2 linked regions of the Styela clava genome follow. The protein of the gene in region 2 interacts with the protein of the main gene of each other region in a pairwise test. Links are inferred from orthologs where the notes say so. Each region holds a gene or a part of one and is shown on either strand. Other genes may lie near its edges.

Evidence for each region.
Region 1: the proteins of dual specificity protein kinase CLK2-like (region 2) and pre-mRNA-splicing factor 38A-like interact in binary tests that used the Homo sapiens proteins (3 or more experiments, as listed by UniProt). The link is inferred for Styela clava from reciprocal best matches to the Homo sapiens genes CLK2 and PRPF38A.

What each region holds. Positions count from the first base shown.
Region 1 is NC_135260.1:5,476,848-5,487,066, reverse strand, and holds the start of pre-mRNA-splicing factor 38A-like, read right to left. Parts: upstream 4,556-10,219; 5' UTR 4,435-4,555; coding exon 4,305-4,434; intron 3,089-4,304; coding exon 2,929-3,088; intron 1-2,928. Other genes in the region: FAS-associated factor 1-like, read right to left, coding at 5,490-5,570, 6,723-6,878, 7,600-7,755, 9,186-9,266, 9,748-9,836. UniProt on the Homo sapiens protein: Involved in pre-mRNA splicing as a component of the spliceosome.
Region 2 is NC_135257.1:9,743,511-9,754,416, forward strand, and holds the start of dual specificity protein kinase CLK2-like, read right to left. Parts: upstream 5,122-10,906; 5' UTR 4,877-5,121; intron 3,783-4,876; 5' UTR 3,762-3,782; coding exon 3,625-3,761; intron 3,538-3,624; coding exon 3,354-3,537; intron 2,674-3,353; coding exon 2,568-2,673; intron 2,131-2,567; coding exon 2,064-2,130; intron 1,695-2,063; coding exon 1,578-1,694; intron 638-1,577; coding exon 547-637; intron 475-546; coding exon 399-474; intron 242-398; coding exon 17-241; intron 1-16. UniProt on the Homo sapiens protein: Dual specificity kinase acting on both serine/threonine and tyrosine-containing substrates. Phosphorylates serine- and arginine-rich (SR) proteins of the spliceosomal complex.

The sequences.
Region 1 (10,219 bases), on a different chromosome or scaffold from region 2:
GGCGGGATGTTAAAATTGTAAACAAGAGAGAGGTAAAATCAATCGCGAATTTCGTTATAACGGCTCGTTTACGAATTGTTGCGCCTGTTATCGTCGAAAATGATTACATTTGTTGTATTTTGAGGCATTTAAGCAGTAATAATTAGGGCATGACATCATCAAAATCGTCAAGTGGGATCTTGAAATTGCAATTCCGTAAATAAAATTGCGAATTATTCGGTAACGAATTCAGCTTTAATGACCGTCGGGGTATTGTTTTGTTGAAAATTATTATTAATTTGAGAGCGCCAAAAACATACAGTCCATACCGATGCGACTGCAATTTATATGGTCGCAATTGGTGTGGCGCGTTTATTGATAGTGTAAAATAAATTAAACGAATATCAATTATAACCAAGCCTGTCATCGTGTTTATTTTCTGTGGGCAGGAATCGTAAAATACCATCTTGAGACAAATTCACTTCTATTATAAAATCTTAATTTTCAGTTATTATCGTTATACAAATAACGTGTGGCAACTTTTTAATTTATCGTCGATCAAAAAACCACCCCACACTCGTCCAAACGTGTGTTGAGCTTGAACGACAGGAACAGATTCATCGAGGACCTTAATTAGGGAAAATATGTATTTTATCGGGAATGCAAAATAAATGTAACAAAACGCATTTTTTGTGATATAACTTTGTATTTTCGGAAACGGGTTGCCGTGAAAGGTAAAATTTGATCTAAATTAATTTCAAAAATGTTTTATTTTAAATGTAACAAAACACATTTGCGATATAACGTTGTATTTTCGAAAACGGGTGTCCTGAAAAGTAAAATATGATCTAAATTGATCGCAAAAATGTTTTATTTTAAATGTAACAAAACACATTTTCGCGATATAACCTTGTATTTTCGGAAACCGGTGTCGTGAAAAGCAAAATATGATCTAAATTAATCGCAAAAATGTTTTATTTTAAATGTAACAAAACACATTTTTCGAGATACAACTGTATTTTCGGATACGGGTGTCATGGAGAGTAAAATTTGATCTGAATTCACCGTAAATAATGTTTCATTCCAAATGTATCATAACGCATTTTTTTGCGATATAACTTTGTATTTTCGAAAACGGGGCGTCACGAAAATTATTAATTTAATGTTTTATCTATCGTCTAACTAACGTCTGGAACACATCATTTTCGGGGAGAACTCTAGCCCGCAAAACGTCATTTAATTTAAAATAGAGAATGTTTCACGCATTTCAAAACGGAAAATCACCAGTAAGTGGACAGGGATTAAACCCTCCGGATTCAGTATTCTATATCCCCCGTGTCAGAACTTTCTGAAGAATGGAACAAAGAACCCGTCAAACCGCCTAATAATTAGGGCGTGACAATATCAAAATCGTCAAGAAACTGGTGAATTTGCAAATTCCATAAATAAAATTGTGAATTGCTCGGTAACATTTTAGCTATAATTATCGCCGGGGTATTGTTTTGTTGAAAACAGGTTGAAACTTGAGGGAATTAGTTACAATTAGCGCCTGACCTCTATTAGGCACTCGAGCACTCGAAAAAAAAAGCACTCGAGCCCAATCTTTTTAGCATTAAGTCGCATACGTAAAATATCCTGTAAAAGAAGTGCTGTTCATTAACGTCATCTCGCCTTATGACCACGCAGAAATGCTTTTATTGCCGAATTATTCAATCACTATTTCAAATCAACATTCAGGATAGGCACAAAACCTGGATATCGCCGCCAAAACGATCGGTGGGTGACAAGAACAATTAGCGATTACAACGGAATTAACCAGTAAAAAGGCTTTGTTGCCGATTTTTTAATGTTTCCACCACGTTTATTCGGTACTCCTTAAAAATATTCGATTTAAAAAAATATTGAATTTTGCCCACCCCTCCTCGCATATCAATGAGAAATAGTTGTGTAATTATCGCCAAATTCCGGAAAATGCCACGTCCTTTCAACATTGTAATTACAATAAAATGGCACTTAATGGTATTTTGTGAATTTGTTGATTTTGCAAATCTGTGACATGCTGCTAAAAGTTTCGTCTGATTTGAAAATCGTGCAGTTTGGTCACAATTCATCCAAAGTGACTAAAACAGTTACTAACACTTTTTATAGTCATTTTGAATTCATCGATATCATTGATAGTCACATGACATGACCACTCTCGTTCAAAGAAACGCCCCGGGAGCGTTTTTTGCGGGAGAAGCGGAATCCGTGTGCTTGTATAATAATCATATTATAAACAAGAATTTTGCCGTTAATGCAAAAGCTTTATCTCCTATGTCTGCATCTCATAGGTTAGAATTCCGGTAAATATCGTTATGATATGCAGAATTGAGTTACAAAAGTACCAGTATGTTACTTATTTGTCAACTTAATACTCGAAAATATTTGTTAACTTTGAATTTTTATTCCCTTTCAAAATCGGAAAAAAGTGCTATTTCTCTTCAAAATCGGAAAAAAGTGCTATTTCGCAGTCCCTAAAAAAAGTTGCGAAAGTGCTTCGCAATTTTCGCAAAAAAGTGCGCTAATAGTGAACACTGATCCTAAGTGATTCAAGAGTCTTGCTGCACACTAACACAAATATATTTCTGTAACGTTTCGTCTGACCACGGTCAAACTTCCTCAGACATACATATTTCAACTCCGAGGAAGTCTGAGGAAGTTTGACCGTGGTCAGACGAAACGTTACAAAAATATATTTGTGTTAGTGTGCAGCAAGACTATTTATTGAATTACTCAGGATAGTTATCTTCACTCTTGCTACAGCATCCTTGCATTATATGCATACGGATCCACCGACGCAAAAGCATAGAAAACGGAAAAGTAGTTGGTCTTGTAGAAACCCAATCGATAAAAAAAGAAACTGTTCTTAAAATTTTCCTACAACTGAGCATGGCTTTCATTTGGACTTACTTGAAATCCTCTGTCTTTATAAATTCCACAATAATATCTTTGTCTGGTTGAATCTGAAGCATTTTCAAAATCAAACATAAGAAAGGTGTTGGTTTGATATTTCCTCCATAAACTCCACCAATGTACTTAAGTTCCATTGCCTTGTCTACAAGCAGCTCGGCTAAAAATAAAAATGTGATTATTCATCACAATCAATAAAAAATTAGTAGACTAGATATGAATGTAAAAGAAATTCAGACATCGGGATGTATAAGACCTGCAATATGTTAAACACGATTGCACGAAATGCAACCCTGAATATACAACGAGAATATCGGTTGAAAACCGAAGACTTATCGATCGATAGTTAGGGGATCCCCCAAAACAGAAACTGCAGTTTCGATTCATCCGCTCTTGTAACTTGCGCACTGCGCATCGCACACACACACTCGGCGGGTTTCGAAATTCTCTCGCTTTAAAAAATCTAGATCACTATATCAATAATTGATTGATAACTCGCTAATTATACGACATAATTCGCCCAAAATCAATAGGCTTCTGGTCCGAGATAAGATGAATGCACATGCAAAATCTGGAGCAGATTCAACCTCGCTTTCGTGAGATATCGCGTGCATCTAACAGACACACAGACAGACATACATACAGACAAATACCTATCAATATACTTACCGATCTTAAGATCGATAAGTAATGACTGTTAACTGCCAAACAACAATTGTAATATATACCATAAGTGATATAGACCAAACAATATTCCAACAAACCAAGTTGGGACAAATAAGGAGACAACGCATGATAATGAAAATTGGAAGGCTGCGTAGGGATAAATTTAAGCATGTTCATATGATTTTGAACAAACATTCATGCTGGGGATGGGCCTTTATAAATATCTGATGATTAAAGAATAGAGTCATACATTTTTTCCAGTAGAATCGATTAAAGTTTGATACTTAAACGCTGTAATTATTTGTGACTTTTCATTGTAATAGCTCATCCAGACATATAAACTCTTGAATGCTACCTAAAATTTTCCTATCCAGCCTTCTATAAATAGAATTATTTTTTCCGAAGAATCTAATGGTGTCGTTTTCTGATTCGTTTTACAGGTTTAGTTTATTGCACTGTGCTAGTTTGTGCTGATATACCGTAAAGGCCCAAATTACCTCGTAAAGGTGTGGTTTGCAATCACTGTTATAATTGAGGTTCTTTATTAATGTCAGCATGAGGGGAATTTGAGAACTGCTCAAATTTACAAATAACCCTGTTTCAAACCCACAGATTACAATATTACTGTATTAAATGATACAGTACGGTACCGGTATCAATCAACCATAAATGAACTCCCAGACCAGGAAATCGTTCTGGTATTAATTTACCTGTAAGAGCAAAGCATTCTTCTTTCCAATACTTGCTGTCATAAATACGCGATCTTATAATCTTTTCCACCAAATACTGCGGATTTGTTCCTTTCACAGTAACCGCATCTTTCACTGTGCGATTCGCCATATCTTATAAAACTGCGGGAAAAACGAGAAATCAACCCGAAAACTGTTGATTTATCGTGATAGTACCTCACGCTTTTTAACACAGTTGACGAAAACCAGCAACCTTGATCTTTAGCCCCGACTAACGGATATGAAATTTCAAAAGTTTGTAACTGGTTGGCTTGAATAAAAAAAAATTTAATGATTGTAATTTCAGTGGTTTCAGTGTTATTGTCTCTAAAAGGATAATGCATATATCTATTTCAAAAATTTATGTAAGTTTTTTGTGGTGACGTCATTAAAAACAGATTGCGTGCCGTGTGACGGCTTCGCGATCGCCTTTCAGCGAAGTCAGTATTTTTTGACAGGGAAGACTTCCTTTACCCTATTGCAATAGATTAGATACTTCGTTTTGATTACATTCAATCTATAGTAATTCGTGATTTGGTCCAACAATCCCAACAGAAGACGTGATTCATTGATGCATGTTAGCGAATGGAGCCGGCTTTCCGGGATGAGAAGGTGCGTCAATATTTCATCGCCAATTTCTATATTTATGGAAACGGCGGCTAGATCGATATAATGGTTTACTCTGAACTACAGCAGAGCAATACGCTGCAAAACTCATCGCAGTGAATGACATATTGGGCCGAATATAGTTAGTGGGTAGGCCTAGACATGGGAGTTCAGATAGGTAAGGGGTTGGGTTTAGAGTTTAGACAGTGGGAGGTCAGGTACGGTTAGTGGACGTGGGAGATCATACAGAGCTAGTGGGTGGCATTGGACATATGGAGATAAGTTGGGGTTTGACATTTAACAATTCGTTAGAAAATGGTATTAAAAGTGGAAAGTCAGGAGCTACCCACTGAGAAGATCGGGTGGGGAAGAGGATGTGATGAAGAATTCAGGAATGCTTAAAGAAATGGGTCGTTTTTTTCAATCTTCATAAAGATTAGTATCAATATTGGATAAGCGTATAGATCCCTACCCTCATTCATAAACATCATTTAGGAAGATCGAACAAACAAACAAAAGTAAAACATATTTATTGAAGTTACAGACAGTTTTAATGAATGTTCACTTCATCTCGATGATCAGAGTTTCTTGTCTTGCAAGTCCATACGAGTTCAATGGTCGTTTTGGGTTTAAACATGAAAGCTAAAAATAATAGGACAAATCAATATCGTTTTTATATCAAATCATACGTGTTCATAAATTCGATGAACTAAATTGGAAATATTACCAATATAAAAATATTAATAGAAACTTTTGCCCGTAGTGGGGAGATATTAAGTTATCTAAAGGCCGGCCGCACACAGCCACAATATATTTATTGCGATGCAATATATTTTTAGAACTCCCATTGTTTATTGAAAACCCGCACCCATTTTAGACTTCATTGTTTCGAGAATTTATCCAATATTTTGAGTGAATTTTTTTTCGAGCAATAGATCATGTTCTACTTTTTATTGCTAGCGCGCGATAATTGCCTTGTGGGGGAAACTCACTCAGACAAATATTTTATTTTTATCATGCAAGAATCAATGCAAAACTTCCGCTCTGCCTGCGTTGTTCAGCTGTTTGCGTGATCTTGTTGACGGTTGTGTAGCGTAAACGAATGATGAGCTATTTGACTGAATTCGCTCCACTAAACGATGTCTCAAATTGACTAATCTTTTTTGCATAATACAATGGTATTCCCCTTATTTAAAGCATCATTTTAAGAAAATGGACGAAGGTGGTTTATATTGGATTAACTGGAGTCAATCCAGAGTCAGAGTCTCACGCCTCGCTGTAGCATCATTGCTAAATATGTACACAGTAACAAAAATTGGCATCACTTGTCAGTCACATTCAGTTCAATCAACGTTAATTACTTGAGCAACCCATGTCACGAATTTTCGCCAATAATAGCTCATTTCGGGTCCATTTTTGTATGGTCATTTCATTTTTTCACTCGTCAACTATTAGGCCGTAAAATTTCATTCATATCTTTATAGAATTAAATGCTAACGTTCTATTTTGGGGGATTACGCTAAAAACCTATTTCAGCCCCAAATTCTACGCATGAAAACTGATAGTCCGGTAATTAAAAAAAAAACGTTTTTTTTTAATGTTTGGTTAGTATATATAGACTAGACAGAGAGTTTAGAGCTGATTTAATTATCTCTAGTCCTAACGTTTACTTGTATAATTTCCCAACAAAACAATACTAACACCATTATTATTGATAAGAGTATCGGCATGTTTCGATATTTACTAATATCGAAAAGTTTCATAATACTACTCATTCTAAGCTTTAAATGTCACCTCGCGCCGCGGGCACACTGATATAATTCTGTAATTCTTCAACGAAAATCCTTCGGAAATGATGAAATTCAATAAATCTTGCAGTTTATCCGACCTAGCAAATTTTCTGCTTAAAAATCCTTCTCCGGTAGGTTTTCGTAGTCGAATTTGAATGACCTGAAAACATACAAAGCAACAATGTGGCGCACCGTGCTAAGCGTTAGGAATACAATCGCCACGCACCTTTGATTACCCTGCGTGGGTTGGCAGGTTCGAATCCTACGTGGGGATAGTTATGTGCAAGAGGATTGCTGTACTCCTCGCCGTTTCAGGGTGGTTTACTTAACCGCTGGTCGGTTATGGCTTCCATCACCATCAAGTCCATGCACCTAAAAAAATGACTAACTAATCCAAAACCCGACATGGACTGGTAATCGGACGAGAGCCCGTGGTTCGCCATATGATTAAACCGTTTTATCGGCTTTTCTTTTCCCCAGGATAATTAATTATGCAAATCCTATCCTATATTATACCGGTTTTACGGAATCAGTTTCTTATTTATAAAAATGGCGACTTTTTGTTTCCTTCCACATATTCCTATTTTCAATCGTAAACGGTTTTTACTGACTTTGTTTAAATTAAACACTTATGACATTCGGAATTTTATTTTCACAAGTACGCACTGTTTGGAAATGGAAGAGCTATAAAAAAGACTATTATTTTCGCGAAATCTTAACATTTGTCGAATGCTTGTGAAAGTGTTTTTTATATGACGATAAAAGTTAAACTTTATGAAAACCTTTTTGAATTGTTAATTCAACTAACCACACATGAGTCATCTAGAGAGTGATAGTAACATTATAGACTTCATTATTCAAACAATCTCAGCAGAGCTTACATTTCTTGAATGGTTTGGCTCCTTTCTCAAAGATGATTTCATTTTTGAAGATTCCGCTTTTAGTTTTCTTTGTTCTTTTATTTCGAGTTCTCTTAATTTATTCGCGTTCACTTTGTTCATTTTCTTTAATCTTGATTCTTCTTCTCGCTTTTTAGCCTGTACATTTAGATTTTTGGTGACGGCATATTTCACTAAACTATTTCTAAATTTGAATAAACTACATATATATATTATCTATTTTAAACGCATACATTATTTGATCGGGGTGTGCAAGCACCGCTAATGGGTGCGAGAACGCTGAATTGTCAAGTTAAGGTTGAAGGCGCTCCAAAAGTGTGTGTACTAATATAGAGGTAACTAATTTTGTTTGCCTACTTTACATCAATTTGTGTAGAGGGACTAAAACCTATGGGAGGAGGCTAACACAGACAGTCCCCGAACTCGTAATAAAACTGAAATATGAAAAATTGGAATAAAATTATGGCCTAATCTGGTACACACACTACGGAAGTACCTGAAAAAATGAACATAACAATCAAAGATATATATCACAGTTATGTGTACACACTTATGTAGTAACCTATCGCAATCAGAAAATAATGCAATGTTCGTGTTAATTACAATTTATGAAAACTATTTCCACAGCAATTCTACAAAATGTGTTGGAGAACCGGTTAGTTAGTATTAAGAACTACCGTCTCAACCTTAGAAAATAGCCTAAAATACGTTGTCAATTCTACAAAATGTGTGGGAGAACCGGTTAGAAAAGAAAAAGGTTTGAGAACTACCGTTTCAACCTTAGAAAATAGCCTAAAATACGTTGTCAATTCTACAAAATGCGTGGGAGAACCGGTTAGAAAAGAAAAAGGTTTAAGAACTACCGTTTCAACCTTAGAAAATAGCCTAAAATACGTTGTCAATTCTACAAAATGTGTGGGAGAACCGGTTAGAAAAGAAAAAGGTTTAAGAACTACCGTTTCAACCTTAGAAAATAGCCTAAAATACGTTGTCAATTCTACAAAATGCGTGGGAGAACCGGTTAGAAAAGAAAAAGGTTTAAGAACTACCGTCTCAACTTTAGAAAATAGCCTAAAATACGTTGTCAATTCTACAAAATGCGTGGGAGAACCGGTTAGAAAGAAAAAAGGTTTAAGAACTACCGTCTCAACCTTAGAAAATAGCCTAAATTACGTTGTGACCTGGTGAAGTCTGATTTTTGTCAGAAGAAACTTACAGAAATACATTTGTGTTAGTGTGCAGCGGGACTTTTGAATTGCATAGTATATATAATATTATACAGGGTGTTCATAAAGTTCTCTTACAATTTCAATTTTGTTTTGAAGTCAGTTCTCAATATATTTTAACCAAGTTTTTTGATCAGTAATTGTTTAAGTATATTTACTTCCTTTAATACATCTGTGAGGGCCAAAACAATATATGGTATCGATAAATTTCTTTTGCAATTTTTAAAATTATTAGGACATTATGGACACCCTATATATATCAGAACTTGCTTAGTATGCGAGTAAATAAATGAGGTTAACTAATATATTACTAGTGTATTATTAACTATCGCAATTTTATACTTTCTCTTGGTCTGCTCTTAAAGATTCTTCGAATTCTCTTTTCTGTTGCTCTAGTATGCTATTCCGTATGGCTCTCTGTTTCTGGAATAATTCAAGGAAAAATATATCAAATCGACACAAAAAAACGATGCTCAAAATATCGTTTTATAGGTATGGTAAGATCTCAGCTGAGAACCGAGTTTGTTGAAGAAATCGGACAAGTGTGAAGGAGGCAAACAAGCGCGACAAAATAAAGTGTTCCTAAATTACATAAAAAAGAGTTTCTATGAATTAAAATATACGGCAAGATTTTGTGAGATATCGGCTCCCTTGTATAAATGGAAAAGAGTAAATATAATGATCCTTCTAGCGGCTTCAATAATCTTCATTGTCCGTTGCAGACAATGCAGAGAAAGGCATTTTTCCCCCAAATAACAGCGACCACCACGAGGACAGAAAGAATTTAGTAAAATAATCCAGGCCCGCTTCGTGTCCAACAAAGAATTAGAAAAATAACGTAAAGATGAAGACAAAAAACAAATGATTATCGCAAAAAAGAAATTTAATCTGCAGCCATGCTTACATCATTCTCTTTGACAATTTTTCTCGCTTGTTCTGCGAATAACACTTGTTCAGACAAAGCTGCAACAAATTCTTCTGTGTTTGTGTTACCTGTCGTAAATACGAGTGTGAGAATAAACTGAAATCTGTCACAACATTGGTCGTTCATAATCTAAGACGTAGTATGTCCCGATTTTTGGTGAAAGAACAGGCATTCGCACGAAATAATGTATGTGCTGGGAATATACGACTTGGAGTTGCGGTGAAATGCTATTTGAAACATTTCACGTCTAACGCTTTTTAACAGTAACGCTTTTTAACGCTAGTCGTTAAACGTTTAAACAGCATTTTGTCGTAACTTCAATACTGTTAAAAAACATCAGTCGATAAATGTTTAAATAGCATTTTGTCGTAACTCTAACACTGTTAAAAAGCTTAGACGTAAATTGTTTCATTTTATTAGTTTTTCACAGTAACTTATATAGCATTTTTCC
Region 2 (10,906 bases):
TATCTTATGAACCTACCTAAAATAACTTCAGGTGCTCTGTAATGTCTAGTTGAAACAATTGTACTGTGATGCTCATGATCAAATGTGGCCGAACCAAAATCTATCAATCTGATGTCAGGGTTATGGATAGTCTTTTCATCTCTTTTGCATGAGGGGTTGTAAGAAACACAACATTCAGAATCATAAAAAAGGATGTTTTCTGGCTTCAAGTCTGTATGTGTCAGATGATTATCATGCAAAACTGTATGAAAAAAATGAACAACTTCATTAAAAAAAAACTCAATATAATAGATATATCGAATGCATGATGTACTTAGCCATGTTATTTCTAAATGGCATTGAAGGATAGATTCCAAATGAAACAATCTAATACAACTCTGGAAGAAATAGGTACATACATTTCACAGCCCAAACGAGTTGGTATGCCATTATTCTGACGTGGTTCATGGGATAAGGCAAATAATGATTTTCTTTCTGTAAAAAAATAATAAAAAGTTAACAACATAAATGTATATATGATGTACATGACGTAAGATAAAAATATACCTGGAAGTCGAACGTGCTGAGTCCAAGAAGTTCAAATGCCAGACAGACATGTCCATGATATTCAAAAAAGTCCATCATTGTCACACAAAGGCTTTAACAAGAGTAAAAGTATAATTGATGTTAATTGCTGAAATATTGTTAATGAAATAATAAGCTTTATCTGTTATTAGAAAAATAAATAGTCAGCAAACTCCGATAAGATCATTAGATTATATTACCTATGAAGCATGATCTTAAATAACTCTTTAGGTACTCCCGCAGTGTGTTTACCAGGTTTGGGTAACGCCCTAATTTTATTCTGACTTTCCTATTTTAGTTCTATTACGAGTTCAGGGACAGTATGTTTTAGCCAAGCGAATATACCCCCTGCCCATGGGTTTCAGTCCCTTCACACAACTTGATATAAAGTAGGCGAACAAAATTAGTTACATCCATATTGGTACACACACTCCTGGAGCTCCACCTTTTCAATATAGGCATTATTTTTAGGGTTGGGAAATTCAATGTAATTCATTTCCTAGAATAAACCGAATCCAGAATCCCATTCTATTCTTATTTACAGTGGTTTAGTTGAAGTCCGGAATTTTTTTTAATGCAAAATTGTGATGAATTGCAAAAAATTGATGTAATCTTCAAGCACTGATATGACAAATTAGGAATAGCATCATACACAAGATAGTGAATGATACACCGAGAAATGAAATTCAGAATTGTTATAATGAATTATAATTATTGGGAGAGCAGATTGATGAAAAACAGATTCAGATTTTTGACCACCTTGAAGATTTTACAGCATATGGCAACTTTAAGCAGTGTTTTTCGGCAACACCGATCTTGCAGAGATTGAATATGACCCAACCAGCAGCCAATATTTACCAACGCTGTGTAGCCTTATTAAATTCGAAAGAAATAAAATCTGTTTGAAGTTTAGACTGAAAAAAATGCTCCAAAACGACCAATATCATGCTATAATCTTGTCATTTCGTTGATCATACAGCATTCAGAATTGCCCATGTATGAATCAAACTCACTATTTTCCATTCGGATCTTTTTCCTGTATTTTTTTCAAAACGTTGACCTCCATATATGCAGCTTCTTTGTACTTTTCTATATTTTTGATAACTTTTAGAGCAATGTGCTGTCCATTTCTGGAAAATGAAACACTTTTATGAGGATTACCTCAAGGAAAGGTAATATAGTTTGGAATAAACATGCCTCTGAGTCAAGTCAAAGGCAATCATGTATACACCAGAAATTCATTCATACCATAAAAAAATATGGTGGCACATTATGCAACATTTTCATGGGACATTGTTACTAGTTTCGGCATATTCAAGATGGAATTAGGAAATCCATTCATCTCCAGAGACCTTGATCAGTATACATTAAGATGCCATCTACATGAAAATTTACGAAATAGAATTCGTGAAAGCATGATGCAAGGTTTCTGAACGACACACAATAAGAGTACTCCATAAATCTATTGAAAAAAAGAATTGACCAAATTAAGTCTTTACCTGCTATGATCCTTACAGTGTAAAACTTTTCCAAATGTGCCTTCTCCTAGAGTGGAGAGGATTTCGTCTGTTAAATGAAGAACGGAAAATTAGTCCCAATTAAAATGGTAGTGATAGCTCCTTTAGGCCTATGACATTGATACACCTAAATACTGGACAGATATATGATATTATGCATTGTATACAACTTTCACAGCGTGAACAAGTCACAATCGGTTTACAACAAAAAGGCTATCATGAAAATTGTGAACAATGCACGTTTAAACCTAAGAAAAATAATATTGCTTATAAGCACGAAAGTCATAAGAACATTCAGCTTGCCTAATTAGTGAATGACCGAAAAACCTGATATGGGACAGTAGGACAGTTACAATAAAAAAATAATCTAATAGGGCTAGTGAGCAATTTGGAAGACAATACATATCACATGCAAAAAACATGTGGACAAAAAAATTCCCACAGCATAATTTATAACTAATTTATAAATCTTCTCTTATTAAGTACATCTCGCTTGCAGCCAGTCGCCATGCCGATAGATAAGGTGACCTTCTTCGTCATCCTGAACACTCTTTGCCCTGCCATTCTTGTTTCTATGTAGCTCTTTCTGAGACTGTCACGCCAAGATGCACGAGGTCAAAGCACCAGTGACGTTCATAAGTGAAAGTGTGTTGTTGGACAGGGTGTGTATCAATCAATGCCATCATTGGTACATATGCGATATGTGGAATATAACCAGGAACCACATGAGAAATTTGTCAGGAATAAACAAAAATAAACATCTTGCACAGAGTACAACTCTAGGGCAAGATGCACACACAATTATATAATGTATGGTGCCCTGGTATAATATTTATGTACTACTTCAGTATCATTAGAAATCTCATAGAATCGAAATAATTAAGCAATTGCACTACATGTCATATTGTTATCACTACCAAGTTGCTCATGTGAACATTTTCTAAGGGCACCATTATGGCCAAATTTAAACATTTTTTGTATCATTATCAACTTATTGAAAATCTTAACTAGCCGCCAATTCACTTCAGACACTACACTTAAAAATGAAATCGGGATCTAACACATTGTTGTTTTTTTCTAATAAAAAAACTTACCTGTAAAGCCAAGATAAAATTTCACTGATGCTTAGAAAGATGTATTACAATTAACACCATGAATTAAACTTCCATCCAATCTATCGCCTTATTTAAATCATCTAGCTTTCCCAACTCATCAGGTCCTAATATAATGTATCGAAGGAAAAAGATACAAGATCACATCAATTACACTCACCAAGCCAGATGGAGATTTAGACCTATGTCTCCGGTGTCTATTTCTATGCCGTCTCCTACTGTTATCACTGTCAGAATCTCTTCGGGTAATATGCTTGTATCGTTTGTGATAGTTCATCTGACTGTTATCTCTACTGTAGTATGGACCATTACGACTGCATTGATGCTTTCGACTCAGATCCCGGCTGAAAACACAAAAGGCCCTGATGAATTATTTCAGCCAATGTTATTAGTGGAAAAAATGGTCTGAAAAGTGCAAATAAAAAAATCACCTGTTTGAATTATAAGTATAATCATACGAGTTATAATCATCAAGTCTCCTTCGTTTAGTTGAATGATAGCTTTGGGAGCCACTATCTCTGTCACCACTCCGATAGCGTCTGGTTCGTCCCATTTCTGGCACAGTCATTACTGCCAATGTTCCCCAACTCTGAAACACATCCACATTTAATGATAGAGACATATAAGTCAACTGTTCTTGCCAAGGTTGGAAGGCATATTAAAAATGGGACCTGGCACAACACACAATCATATAAATCGAAGTTACAGCCGGATTAGTGGGACTGGCTAAGGAAATGAATAGATAGTACAAGTCAGGAATAATTTACAAAACATTTTTACATATAATGGCAGACAGTTCACGAACTCCAGACTAAAGAGAAAAGCAGCAACCTCAACCAGCTTTCACTCCATGGAACTGTGGAACGGCAGCCACAGGTGCAACTTAACCTTTATGTTGGAATCATACCGGTAACAAGCTACGGAATCCTAAGTTTTTGATGATGCTTGCCTTCCAGTCAAACAAGATTAATAGCACATGACGAGACGAATGGTAAAGTTTATTCTTTAATTTAATCAGGTATAAATTATCAGATTATTGAAATAGGTGCCTTGAAATTTGTTAGAAAGTAAATGACTTTTTCCCTTTCAATAAATATTTGTCATCCTAAATAAGTAAAAAAAATTTCACAACCAGAAAATTTTGTAATTACTGAATTAGTTCTGTAGCTGTTTTGGTCATCAGTGAGTGGCGTATGGACATTGGATTTATCCATTTATAGAGAAATATTACACTTGACTGCTAGAATGGTGTCTTTATATAAACCGGAATTGCCAAGTCTGTGCAATGGTACCGGTATCATACGACAGGCAGTACGATAATTACAAACAGGACTTAAGTTTCATGCTTAGCAGACTAGGCTATATTTTTTTCAGTCTACAACACAGAAAACCAATAATAAAATAAGGAACACAGACAACAGGACGAAAAGATTGGAAGAATGACCAAAATTAATCAATTTTACTTGGTCGCTCTGATAGAAACAAAACAACAATAATAAAATAAGAAACACAGACGACAGGACTGCAGGAAGAATGGCCAAAACCTAGAAAAAGTTTATTTGTGCCCATTCACCAACACTTACACAAGTGAAAAAACACATCACGACAATCTTACAGAAAATAATAAATTCACGAGAAGCATAGGCCTACATGAACACGAGAAAAGAAAAATTAAGGGCGAACCTTACTTGTAAAAGTTAATCTGTTTTGTCGTCGTCGTAAATTATTTCCGGTCTTTGAAAGAATCTGACTAATCAAGTACTGAAGTAATATTGATGCAGTGCAGCGGTAATGAAGATTTGCCTCCTTGATTCGCCTCAACCGCTCTATTCTCAAAATCAGCGCTGGCCACAGATGCCTTCACGAAAAAAAATCACACGAACTCTGCGAGAAATGGCGGCTCGGTAAATAAACAGCTGACAAAAACGGGCGGCTTCGAATCGCGAAGCCCCGGATGTACGCGGAATTGTGGGTAGTCAAAAACTTGACTATCGCGTAAAGTTTCAGTCGCTGTCACTGTGTGTGCCAGGGTTGCCATATTGGCTTTTTAACGCCAAATTTGCCATTTTTGGCTTTTTTCAAACGCGTTTGGCGTCAGAATTTCCGTTTGGCTTTTTGGCGTTTTTTTTGGCTTTTTTTTAAGTCTATTCTAGTGTCTATTATAAAAATCATATGAAATACAATATTTAGTGTTCAACAACTGAACAATAGTCTATTACCTGTACTTAGCTACTTAACATCAGGCTTTCCCGGAGCATCGATTCCCTTGTTTGTTACATTAGATAGATAGATAGATTTTATTTTGAAAACTCCATAATACACACAAAATATAATTGGGGAATTCTGGAGAACGAGCAAAACCTTTAAAAAAGTTTAAAACATGAAAAATATCAAGTGCCCGCCCACCAGCACACACAAAAAAAAAATGACAAAAAACACAAACCTAGTTAAACAAGGGTTGGGCCAGAAATAAAGAAACAAAAGATACGCGAATGTATTAAACCTTCGGGCTGTTTTACTTTTGAAGCACTCAAGCTACAGTAATAATAATTTATACAATCCTATACGGAATATCTGCATATATATGCCAAATTTAAATGTCTTGAAAAGATTGTTAAATCGGTTGCAACATTAATATCGAATTTCCACGCACAACCATCATTTCAACAGGTGCAGTATTTTCTGAGCTCTGTTCCATCATCCACAACTAGATTCATCAAATGACCCAATCCTCGCAAAACACCCATAACAGATCGTCCACAATTCAACTTTAAATCCAATCTTTTATCCAAATACTTTTAATTCTGGTGGATGGGCTTTGTTTATCTTGATATTAGGCGATACAAACCAACAGTAAATACAGAATGACATGCCGGCATGAAAAGATGTTTGTCGTACGCCTTCAAGAGTTATGTTATCAGCTCGACCGAATATTGACACGAAATGTATTGTCGTATATTGACACGAACCTGTTATTTTTATGCTTATTTAATATAATTGGGTGGCAACTGACTCTGATGACCCCCAAAGGTCGTATCGTTGCCCCCCCAGTCATATACCGAAAACTATATTTTTGATATTTGTTTATGTGTGCATAAATTGTTTTCTTGGTTTGACAAAATGAAATAAACTCTCTCTCTCTCTCTCGACTTTTATCCAAGTTAGTAAATTCCAATTGTAATTCCGGTCAAGTAGCCCCTCCAAATCAAATCCCGTTGCAGAACATTAGTTCTATTTATTCAGGCGAATTGGGATTGAGAATCGACGAACTTAATACAACCAAATACTCCAATAGTGTTGTTACTCTGTACCAAATACTATACTCATGTCTTAATACAACCAAATTCTCTGTTCTACTATATGGTGAGTTTTATATGTGTTTACATTGACCAAATACTCTGTTCTACTATATGGTGAGTTTTATGTGTGTTTACATTAACTCTTAACCCTACCCAATAAGAAATAATTGCAGTTTCTGCAGCTGCTCAGACAGATGTTCAAGCGGGGTTGTAAACATTGCCTGGTTTTTATAGTTTTGCGTGTTATTTGTCAGTTTTTGGCTCTGTTTCCAAAAAGTAATTGTATAACTCAATTTTCATTATGCCTGATATGGTTTATGTGAGCTTTAGTTTAATTCTGCAATTGTAGTAATCAAAATTTAGTCTCACGAACGTTGTGATTAACTACGCTAAAATTAATGAATTAGATATCAGTGGTCCACCTGTGAGCGGCACGGCGTTAGATAATTTTTTAATAAAATTGATGATTTATAAATTTAAAAGTTAAATTTTTTCTATAGTAAGATACAATATAGGGAGAATTTTTTAAGGTATATTGCAAGTTTAAGTAGAAACATGTAGGTATGTTACATGCTGAAGCGGCACCCTGTCTTGTATATTGAATGGTAAAATAATTCTGTCCACTTGATATTTATTTCACCTTCTACCGTTCTATAGGAACTTTACTTTCTATTTGTGTGCCTCACTGAATGACATGATGGCTTTACATCATCATCAGTACGTTGCCAAGGACTTAAAATCTGACTAATCATGGGGCTTTTGTACTTGGTAAAATTGTTGGCTTTTTCTGGCTTTTTTTGTGTCTTGATTTAGCCTTTTTTGATCGCTGGGATCTGGCAACCCTGGTGTGTGCTCACTGTGGCCTGTGCATCCTCTACAACTTCGTGAATTTCTCATACAAAAATGGTTTGGTAATTAACCGTCTTCGCAGTAAAACTTCAAGTGTGCCAGCCATTAGAATATATCGGTACAAACTTTGGAGGTGAGCTATTACGCTTCCTATTGTAGTATTGATCCGCGTTTGCAGAGTAAAAAAAAGTTCGTACAAAAATTGTTTCACACGTTTTTTGGCCTATTTGTTGCTGGCCAAAATGAATCGGTTCAGATTCTAAACAGCCCTTGAAGTGTTGGTATGATAGCACACACTGACAAAATAGTGGTGGGACTGTATTAATAACTAGGCCCTGAACGTTCACAATAATATTTTGAAATCCTGCACAATCAGACAATGGTTACAGGTTTTCTGTCGCCAGAAAGAAATATTTATTATCACAAACAAAGTCAGCACTATGGCACCTTCAATTAATAAATAGCAAAAAACTCAATAATAATTGGTTGGGTATTATTTGTGAACGTGAGTACGCGATACCAGTTAGATCACAGACACTCCTGAGTCCTGACCCATATGCATTTGGTATAAATACGTTATCACTCAGGTATAGCATCGTGGATAATCGTGTGTGAGTAAGCAATTCGAAAGTCAATACTGTAAGTAGTGATTCGGATAAGCCACGCGAAGTGTTATGGTCGTATCACCTCCCCCCTTTACAAACATATGTTCTCAAAATTCTAAATTTTATTTAAGATTTGTTACTTAGAATCTCCCAATTTGGTTTTAGAAACTTGTAAAAATATTATCGCACTAGTTCAAGTTTTTCCACTAGTCATTTTCCATTGTTAATATAACCACAACAGCGCATATGGTGGAAGCTTACCGTGTGGTCGTATCGCTCCCTCCTGCGCATTTTTTGGTTGACGAAATAATAAAATCTCTCTCTCTCATACGCCCAAGAATTTTATTTTACTTACAAAGCAGCAAATACATTCCAGTCATTGAATAAGGTATTTTTTATTTATTTACTAAGGAACATTAATCGGTAAGTAACAATTTTTGGCGATCCCGTAGTATGTGAACCAAGATGGCGGACACCGGAACGTAGCATGTGCACCAGGTTAGGGTCAGGCTATAATTTGATTCCAATTTTCCTTATTGGGCACGTAGTGAATAATAGCGATCGATTTGTTGTTCTTGTTCTTTGTATCGTTTTGAAGAAATCGCTTTTCTCTTTGATTACTGGACCAATTGCTTTGAAATTTTCAGTGGTTAAAGATGAAATTTTTCTCCAGAAGGCTATTACTTTTATTTTTTGCTATGATGTCATCAAAATTATGTGGCGCTACGTTTTCATATATTTCACTATAGCTCTCCTGTTTTAGTTCTATTACGAGTTCTGGGACTAGCCAAGTGACTCCTGTGGTATTGGTAGCTGAAATTATGGCCTAACCTGGTACTACGTTCCGGTGTCCGCCACCTTGGTTCACATACTTGGGGAGTACCTAATTTTTTTATAAACTTATTATGGGTTCCGTAAATAATAGTCAGCCTATTCACGGGCTCATGACACTGAAAGATTGAGAACTGACGATTTAGTCTATAATCTCTGTGTATGTTGTATTTATATATATATATTGGGCGCTCCCGAAGTATGTGCATCAAGATGACGCGCAACCTGAACCCTAACCTGGTACAACTACTATGTTCAGGTTGTGCGCCATCTTGGTGCACATACTTCTGGAGGTCCTCTCTCTAGTCTGGGAAGATTCAGAGAAATATGACAATTATCAAGGGCTTGCACTCCAACGCGGTTATTAATTTAGGTTCAAATAAATATATATAGCTTTATTAATCTGTCAGCCAAAAAAAAAGATGTAAATGAATTTAATGGAGGCAAAAATACAATGAACGGACACAATATTTGTCGGTAAAGACTAGGGGGAGCGATATATACGATAATCTAAATCAGTTACCTGCATATTCACTGTAGTATTGCATAATATTCACAGTTTTTGGATGAGTATAGGTCAGGGGATGGACGGGACTTGGATTCAGTTCGGATCCACGAATTTTTTTGACTCTGATTTGAGTTCACGTCATTTTGTCGAGTCCTTGTCGAGCTACGTTATGTATATTTACCCCTGTAAAGATCCGTACGTTCTGTCGTACCATATCAGCTTAGTAATTTTAATTTGATAATAAAACATCCTTTTTGGTATATATATATGAACAAAATAGTATGTGTTGGCGCAATGTATTTGAGTTTTCAGTTCGCGTGAAAATAAAACATCCCTATACCTCGAGTAAATATCCGCTAATTACCAGCTCCCAACCGCTGCAATTACGTTGTTCTGTTGTTTTTCTGTCTTCTCAATCACTTTTCCTAAGACGAAGTTGCGTCGGGTTATCACGCAATTTCTCTTCCGCCGTCATATTGCTGTTCGATAAGTGCGGCATTAATGGTCCGGCGACGTCTTGGCGCCGAGTAATCACACTTTTCGCTTCCGATTCATCGCAAAAGCTCTCCGTCAAATCTCGCAAGATTCAGAAACCTAAAAATCGGCACGCGTGCTTTTTCTGTTCTGCATGCTGCATAAAAGGTTATAACAGTCAGGATCAGTATAATATTCTAGGGATTTGCATCGACATCCAGTAAGATATGAACTTGTTGCGACTCTGCAGGTGGTCACGATACGCGCAACGCATGGGCGGCTGAGATCTTTTCCAGGTGATGCACAGCAAGATTTTGAGCCCGGTTCCAAGTTACCGACGACTTTGTCATTGTAATGTAAATTTATTTTGTTTGAGGCGTCGATCAACTACAGAGGGATTAATATGATGAAACCGATAAGACTGATGAAAAATAAAAGTTTTTTTTCTTTTGTTGTTGAACGGATCAGAGTGCAATATTCCTCGGATCAGTATATATTACATTAATACGTCATGTCCGAGTCATAACGGTATAACGCTCCATAAGCACGCTGTCGCATATGCATCAGTCATACGTGTATCTTGGAGGGGGGTCTATAGCGTAACTGTTTTTACTGCATCTCGCAACCTATCAGGGTTTCGAGCTCATCTTGCACATTAATTGCTCATATATATGCTTTTATCATATCCCGCTCCATTACAGACCACTTTCCAAAGGTATATTCTAGCATATCTATCCACAATCGTAAAGAATCTCTATAACTATATGGTAAACTAGATATGAAACATTTTTGCGTCGACACTTTTCGAGGGGATGTTCACCAATTTTTTCTAGCTGGTCTTCTGCAATAGTACCCATACCCAATAAAAAGCACTTTGACGCATTATGTAATGATTTCATAATTGACAGACATGCCCGTATGAAGATGTTATCGAGAAAAGAGCTGAAAACGAAGAAAAAAACATGGTTGGGCAAAGGTCTTCGTGTATCCTTCAAGAACAAAATGCTCAAAAAGTGCTATTTATTAGGTTATCTGTCACAACAGAACACGTACAAGGGTATTGCAACAAACTGAAGGGGATAATAAACAAACGTCATTATTATAAAACTATGAAAACTTATAAAACTATGAGACCAATTGTGCTAGT